2 linked regions of the Neurospora crassa OR74A genome follow. The protein of the gene in region 1 purifies or fractionates together with the protein of each later gene. This does not show direct contact. Links are inferred from orthologs where the notes say so. Each region holds a gene or a part of one and is shown in the gene's direction. Other genes may lie near its edges. The genes, in order: NCU05714 and NCU04171.

Region 1 (3,815 bases):
ACGACGTTTGAAAACATGAATCAAGACCGAAGAAAGAACCGTAAACATATTGAACGTCAAATGAAAGAGAAAGTAGTCTGGCATTCAAGTCGTATTGAAACTGACCCAGTTGCTTTCCTAAAAGGAAGGTGCTATCCATGGGTGGTGAGGGCTTGACTTGTACACGAAAACGATCAGGTCGCTGCCGCAAACATGACCACATCCATGGGATCTTTCCCGCTCGCAAAGAAACCCATTTATCAGCCCCAAGACAGAAAGCAAATATTGAGAGACCACATTTTTGAGGCCCTGAGAGGCTGTCCAATTGACATGAAGAGCAAAAAGCTCGGTCGCCCAGGTAAGTTTGTAGAACGAACGACAATACCCCAACTGCAGACCTACGAAAAAGCCACACATTTTCATCAACGGGAACCACTGTGCCAAAAGATCACAGAGTTCCGTTATGCCAGAGAGATCAGTTAGGGAACCCGACCTTATATAATACCTGTAGGCTACAGCAGAGGGTACTAGAGGTTTGCGGCCTGGGCGGGAAGGGATCTTGTCATCCGATGTTCCCGTCGGTGAAGGGCGTGCCGACCGATTGCCGGTGGCAGGAGCGGTGGCAGGTACCTGGCGCGTGGTTTGGGCTTGGGACTGACATTCCATGCTTGAAATTCAGACAGACTTGAGTGAAAAGCCATTTCGGAGCGGCGCTTCTCTGCTTGACTTGGAAAGTTCCATCACGATCGGTTATGTTTATCCCGCGAAATGACTGCACGCTGTCCCTTGCTCTGTTCTGCAGTAAACGTTATCCGACAGCAAAGAAGGCTTAACAATTACATTCTTTCTATCAGCCATACAAACACCTTCAGTAAATCAAAGTAACATTCAGGCAATTCCAGCGTGTATGTCACTCATGCCATTCTCAACACTCCCGAACCCCACCAGCTCGATTGGCTCATGGCTGACACAGAACCCCCTTCGACACGCCCTACTTCAGGACTTCTGTGTAATTCTAGCGTAGGTCGCAGTTGAGACCCATCTATAATAGGTTTCTAGTATGAGCTGCTCTTGGCTGCCTGTTTTGCGTTGCTCTCAAAGGCAATACTTTAAGCATCCCACAGTTGTACTTGCACAATATTTTCTCAACGCACCTCCAATGGCCTCGGGACACTCAATTTATGATCATTCCGACTGGGTGGAAAAATTCCCTAAACTCGCACCAGATGTTCTTCAGCCTGTTAAGCCGCGGTACAATCACTCTTAGGGACTTTCACCGCACTGAACCTTTGACATGTTCTTGCATATCCCGTGTAAGTGATATCGAACATGGATATTTTGGAGCATCACGGTCCCTTGGCGAAGGACGTCGGATGTGGACCAGCTGCTGACTCAGCCGCCCATTCGCAATTGACCGAGACCAACGAGGGCGCACGGTCCACCCCCGCGACGCAGGTGTCGGAATTTGGCTGGGCGCGGGTCCTGAACTTTTGTTTTCGGGGAAGTGCCGTTGCCGTGAGGAACGGAATCCGGAAGACTGCCCGACCCAGACCCAACCCACTCCCGTGTCCTCCGCCTCCGTCATGCCTCCCAGGTTACCGCTCGCCCAGGCGGCGCGATGCTGCCAGGCCTCCCTCACAGCCCGCCCTTCGGTCCCAGCCTCGTCGCCGACGTCGTCCCTCATTTCGCTCTTTGCTGCCCTCTCCGTCCAGACCAGGAGCGCATCCATCCTCGCCAGCCTGTCCGACAACCGGGGCGCCTACCACAAGCGCATTCGCAAGGGTCGCGGTCCTTCGTCCGGCTATGGCAAGACTGCCGGTCGCGGTACCAAGGGTCAGAAGGCCCACGGTCATGTTAAGCCATGGTTCCAGGGTGGTCAGACGCCCTTGATCGTCTCTCACGGCCGCAAGGGTTTCGTTAACCAGTATGCCGTCCCGACTTCCCTACCTCGCTTGCTATGCGCCATGGCCAAGAACTCTCCAGCATGCTATCCGATAACCTATACCTACCAGATACATGATGGAGACTAACCATTTGTGTCTTTCATAGGTTCGCTGCCGACATGTCCGAGCTTAACCTCGAAAAGCTTCAGGAATGGATCGAAGCCGGCCGTATCGACCCCACGAAGCCCATTACCCCCAAGGAGATCATCAAGTCCGGCATCATTGGCAGCAGCATCAAGGACGGCATCAAGCTTCTCGGCCGCGGCAAGGAGAGCTTCAAGATCCCCGTCACCATCACCGTATCGCGCGCGTCCGCCTCCGCCATTGAGGCCATCGAGGCTGCCGGCGGCAAGATCGTCACCCGATTCTACACCAAGGAATCGCTCAAGCGTCTGGTAGAGGGCAAGTCTCTTCATACCGACAAGCCGCTGCCGGTGGGCAAGGAGCACGTGGAGGAGATCCTGGCGCAGGCGCGATCGCTCAAGAAGAAGTACTACCGCCTGCCGGACCCGACCAGCCGTTGGGATATTGAGTACTACAGAGACCCGGCGCATAGGGGCTACCTCAGCCACCAGCTTGCGCCTGGCGAGTCGCCCAGTTTGTACTTCAAGGTACCGACGGGCGGCGAGAAGGTCAAGGTGGTCAGGGCCGACAAGGTCAAGGCCAGCAAGACCGGGGATGTGGCGTCGGAGAAGCTCTTCTAATGAACACGAACATTGCCTGGGATGGCGGTTTTTCCGAGACTCGTTGTTGCGCTCTTCCTCGTTGTTGTATGATAGGTACTGGGCCCGTTCATGGCTCTGTGCTTTGTGTTGTATTATTATCATCCGCGTATTGTCAGTCCAGCGTCTTGCTCCTCGGATCAGTTCTATTTGGGTCCTTGTACATCATACAGGTCTCACCTACGGGAGTGGATTCCCACATGCGGCCAGCACTCCACTTGCTGACAACGCAGGTGAATCATGAAACTCCCTTGATTGACGTGTTCCTGCTTTTGCGATCCATCGTAGTTCGAAGATGGGCTTTATAAAGTAAATATCACTTGGCTGCGTGTTGACATGGTCCAAACGACGGATCTCGAAGACTTGCTGTCCCGTACCTGGCAGTCGGAAGAACAGCCATTGGCCAGTGACATGTCAATCCCGCAAGCTGACCCCGGTCAAGTCCCGGTCCTGGGCGGTCCCCGGCCATTCCTTCCAGGGCAGCTTCCACGGGGACGGTGAATGGGGGCATTAGAAAATATGGGTCTGATCACGTGCCAGGTCGCTTTTGGTACCTTCTCCATACCAGCTTGTAATTACGTCCGAAAACAGCCGTCAATACCCGACTTCTCTGCAAATTACCAATTAGTGTTAGGGTTAGTTAGGGTTAGTTAGGGTTAGTTAGGGTTAGGGTTAGCTCCGGGGGTGCAGGGGGCCGGTGAGAGGCCCCCGCATGTGAATGTGAATCGTTAATATTGACATATGTCAACCATATGCCGACCATATGTCTTGTAATTACGGTAATTACACGGGTGACTTTCGATACCTTCGGCTTAAAGAAAGTGGAGTATGCACGGACCAGTCTAATGCCCCTAATCACCATGCCCAGCTTCCACAGCGGGAACCGTCCACTGAAGCCACTGTATGCAGCCCTCCCGAACGGGATTGTGTCAGCTTTGGAGTCGGCGCGTGCCCTCCACCCACTCTGCCCGCCGCGGCGTCATCATTGATGCATCTTGACTTTTCTTTCCTCGAGCGGGAGAGACCAAACTTTGTCGTTGTCAACATCACGACCTGCTTCAACTTTTTTCTTCATTTCTGTGTTTCATTTTCTTCTTTTTCTTCTTCTTCTTCTTCTGGCTGAGGTTGCCATAATCTCATCATTAACTTGTTCACTCTTTGGTTCTTCCAT
Region 2 (4,151 bases), on another chromosome or scaffold:
CGCTGCGGCTGTCACGAGTACAGATCCTGCTCCAGTCACCACTACCACCACTACCGCTACTAGTTCTACTACGAACACCACCCCAGTCTTGTTTACAACTAGTACAACTACTACAACCGCCGCCGCCGTTGCTACTACAGCCCCTACTCAAGCCACCACGACCATCGCCACTGCTGCCACTACTTCCACCACGAACATCGCCTCAGCCTCGCCTACAATTCCTGCTGTTGTGAACTGGGACTACCAAGGATGTGCCAGTGACTCCAACACCGCCGCGCCTACTGCTCGCGCGCTCAATGGCACCTACCTATACGACAGCGCCGGCATGACCATTCAAAAATGTCTTAACTACTGCGCCCAGCAAAACTACCCCCTCGCCGGCCTCGAGTTCCAATCCCAATGCTACTGTGGTCTCGAGTTCAAGCCCGGCTACAGCCTCGGCCAGACTGGCTGTAATCTCACCTGCGCCGGTGACCCATCAACACGCTGCGGTGGCCGCGCTCGTCTGGACGTCTTCAGACAAACTAACTACGTGACGCCCCGGCTCGTCAACCCGTCCGTGGTTAACGGGCGCTTGGCGACGCCACAGGGTTGCTTCATCGACAACTCAACGGCTCGTATTCTCAAAGCTCACTCGTACACCAACAGCACGAGCATGACGGTCGAGATGTGCCACGAACGCTGTCAGTCGAGGGGCTACAGTCTCTTTGGCGTGGAGTTCGGCAAGGAGTGTTACTGCGGCAATTCGCTCGCGGACACGGCGGTGGCGGCGTCAGAGCTGTATGAGTGCAAGAGGTCGTTCTGCGTCGGTGATAAGACGGAGTTCTGCGGTGCTGGCTCAAGGTTGTTGCTTTACAGTATTCAGCCGGCTGGGACTACTTCTCCTGCTAGGAGGAGTATAGAAAGGAGAAACGAGGGGATGGTGAAGGTGAAGTTACCCAATTTGGGCAAAGATGGGGAGTCTGATTATGAGTTGAAATGGGATGGTGATGGGGGTGTGGGACAAGTGAGAAGAAGCGGCTCTGGGCGGAAGAATATTGAGAGGCGATGGGGACGTAGTCTTGGACGGTGATGATGATACTTGGATGTTTTTTCTGTTTTCTCTTTCTTCCCCGTTACATACTTTGTTGTTATTGCTAGACATGCTGATAAGGTGTGCGCGGAATGATGTAATTATTAGTGGCTCGGAGGATACTTCGAGCAAAGGAAGCGTACGCATATACAAGTGTCTCCTAATCTAATCATACATGTCGTCTTAATGTGTTGGAATCCTGATCTGAATCGCTTATATTGGTACAAACATAGTGATATATTTCCAAATCCATGCTTTATTTAGAGTTCATCAACCACATCAGATGCATTCTCAGGGGTCCAGGAACGCTTTCAGGGGTAACAGACTCATATCCCTAACCCCAAACTCATCCAGCTTTGGCCCGTGCTGCCAAGCATTGGCCCCGGTTCGAGACTCCGCAGAGGCTCCAAAAAAAATTCCGGCGGGCGGCACAACGGGGACCGGCACCTCTTCGAGCCTCGACGCGGGACCAGGACCTTGCGCTTGCCGGAGAAGGAACCTCGCTGCCCTCTGCCCGTCCGTGACAGACCTTCGGCCCCGATTTCCCGCGTGCGCCGGACCCTCTTCCTCAACCACCACTCCGAAGCGACAACCTCCACGGTCGCCAATTCCGAAACCAGAGCGTCCGCCCGAACGCCGGTTTCTTTTTTCGGTATCCTAATTCACCATGGCCAGTCTCCGCGGGGTCTCGCGATCGGCTCGCGCTCTTCAGCCTTTCTCTGCTCAGTTCGCCGTCCGAAGATGCGCCTCGACACAAACTGGTGCCGGCGCTGCTGCCGCTACTCCCAAATCCAACATTCCCGACCTCGCCGAGCTTGAGACACGGTCGGCATTGGACGCTCCCATCCCCAGCGAAGAGGACAAGAAGGAGTTCAGGCCATGGAAGCGCGCGGCCGACAGGAAGGCGAGGTTGCCTAGCAGCAGGTGCGTTATACACTCTCCCTCCGTCCCGTGGTTTACATAGCTAGCCACACACATGTATATATACATACATATACGCAAACCATAAACAAGATGTTTAAACGTTGCTAACCACCATGCCTCACCTCCTACCGAACAGATACCAATACCACCCCCCCAAGTACAACCGCGGCCCCCTCCACCCCATCCAATCCCCTCCCTCCTCCGACCCTATCGCCCGCGACTTCGTTCCCGGCCCCTTCAACATGCCTCGTCTCAAGGAAACCTTCCGCACCGTCATGGCCTCGGACCTCATGACCCTGGCCTACATCCACACACCCCCGGGAACGCCCAAAAAGGAACCCACGGAGCGCTTGCGTGCCTGGGAGGGCGACTCGCCCTACTTCGCCAACCGTGCCCGCCGCGCGCCCCGCGGTGCCCCCGAGCTTCCCATTCGCGAGCGCGACATTTCGTTCCGCAACATCCCCGAGATCAAGGAAATCACCGTCTCCACCTTCGTGCCGCTCGGTCTCAAGAACCCGGACTTGTTGATTGTGGCCCGGGCGGTGCTGCTGGCCATGACGGGGACGATGCCGGAGATGACGAGGTCCAAGAACAACGTGGTGCAGTGGCAGCTGCAGGCGAACAAACCGGCTGGTTGCAAGACGACGATTTACGGAAACGCGGCGTGGGAGTTTATGGATCGGTTGATCCATTTGGTTCTCCCCCGGATCAAGGATTGGAAGGGCGTGCCGGCGAGTACGGGTGATGGAAGCGGTAATGTGCAGTTTGGTTTGAATCCGGAGGATGTTCAGCTTTTTCCCGAGGTGGAATGCAACTATGATGTGAGTTTGTTTCTTGGGAAATGATGGGTGGAAGAGAAAGAGAGGACGGAGGAGAACAAAAGTTTGGAGTTGGAGCCGGAGCCGAAGCTACAGTAGGGAGGGTTCTGGTTCCGGCTCTGGCTCCGGCTTTGGCCCTACCGTCTGCTTCGTCTTCTTGTTTTCTTGGACTTGACGACAGATTACTGACTTTCTATCCTCTCCAGATGTACCCCGCCAAGATGATTCCCGGTTGCCACATCGCCATCAAGACGACAGCCACCTCCGACAGGCAGGCTAAGCTTCTGCTCCAGTCCCTCGGCGTTCCTTTCTACAGCAACTAAGCGCCAAACGGGCTGTTGATCGTGAGAGGTTGAGAAAGGGACGAGATTCAAGGAAGGGGGATGAGAAGATGATGAACAACATCTCGCATCATGATAGTTGTTGGATGACAATTGAGGAGGATGAGGAGATGTGTGAAACTTGTACAATACGAATACACTAACCACATAAGGACGATGTATGTTGGGTGTATATATACCTTTTGTAACAACATCACGAGGAGGAGGCTTATAGACGAAGTGGAAAGGAAACGGAAGAAGAACAATACCACCGGGTCTGACGGTCAAAGATCAAAGAAGTAGAATCACAAATGCGTAAAACAATTGGAAGGGTGTCATCATTGCGTGAACTGGATTGTGTAAACGGACATCGTCAAGGGTATCTGCTTCATAAACAACTCCCAAGTCTAGAACCACATATCCATATCCCAGTCTAGCTTTGCACAGAACAGGTCAAGATATTATGACAACAGAACCCATTCGTCTTGATCAACCAAGGATCTCCAAACAAAAAAAACCAAACGCCTTTTCCAATGCCAAAACCAAAACCATATCTTTTCAGTCCCATTTTCCTTTCATTTGGTCATCCCCATCATGAACCCCAAACCCTCAACCTACTCATCCCCTTAGACAGCTCTAAGCAGACTTGGCCTTGTTTCTCAAAACGTCAATAACCTCATCCACTTTATCCATATCCGCCGCATCCACCTTGGTCCCGTTGTTCACCAAAACCTCATGACCGCGCTTATGCATCTCGTCCGCCGCGACATCCATAGCCGGCTGATAATTCCTCACCGCACTGCTAAGCGCATACGTAGCCTTGCGCCTCACCTTCTCCGACTCGCCCTCCTTCATCGCCAGGTCCACCAACTTGGGCACGCCGCCCATGGCCAACAGCCGTTCCTGCGTCTTTTGGTTGTTTTGCACCGCCGTGCCCAGGCACCAGGCAGCGTGGTACCTCATATCCTCGTCCTCGTGATCCAGCAAGGAAATCAAGGGGGACCAGAGAGACAGTTC

What was found.
Region 2: the proteins of NCU05714 (region 1) and NCU04171 purify together in Saccharomyces cerevisiae (affinity purification with mass spectrometry, with the first as the bait; 3 studies listed by BioGRID). This does not show direct contact. The link is inferred for Neurospora crassa OR74A from reciprocal best matches to the Saccharomyces cerevisiae genes MRPL10 and MRPL7.

What each region holds. Positions count from the first base shown.
Region 1 is NC_026503.1:604,301-608,115, forward strand, and holds NCU05714 (mitochondrial 54S ribosomal protein YmL10/YmL18), read left to right. Parts: upstream 1-1,437; 5' UTR 1,438-1,562; coding exon 1,563-1,903; intron 1,904-2,028; coding exon 2,029-2,626; 3' UTR 2,627-3,265; downstream 3,266-3,815. UniProt on the Saccharomyces cerevisiae protein: Component of the mitochondrial ribosome (mitoribosome), a dedicated translation machinery responsible for the synthesis of mitochondrial genome-encoded proteins, including at least some of the essential transmembrane subunits of the mitochondrial respiratory chain.
Region 2 is NC_026505.1:5,079,160-5,083,310, forward strand, and holds NCU04171 (mitochondrial 54S ribosomal protein YmL7/YmL5), read left to right. Parts: upstream 1-1,464; 5' UTR 1,465-1,739; coding exon 1,740-1,996; intron 1,997-2,132; coding exon 2,133-2,817; intron 2,818-3,020; coding exon 3,021-3,137; 3' UTR 3,138-3,469; downstream 3,470-4,151. Other genes in the region: NCU04170 (hypothetical protein), read left to right, coding at 1-1,072; NCU04172 (hsp70-like protein), read right to left, coding at 3,771-4,151.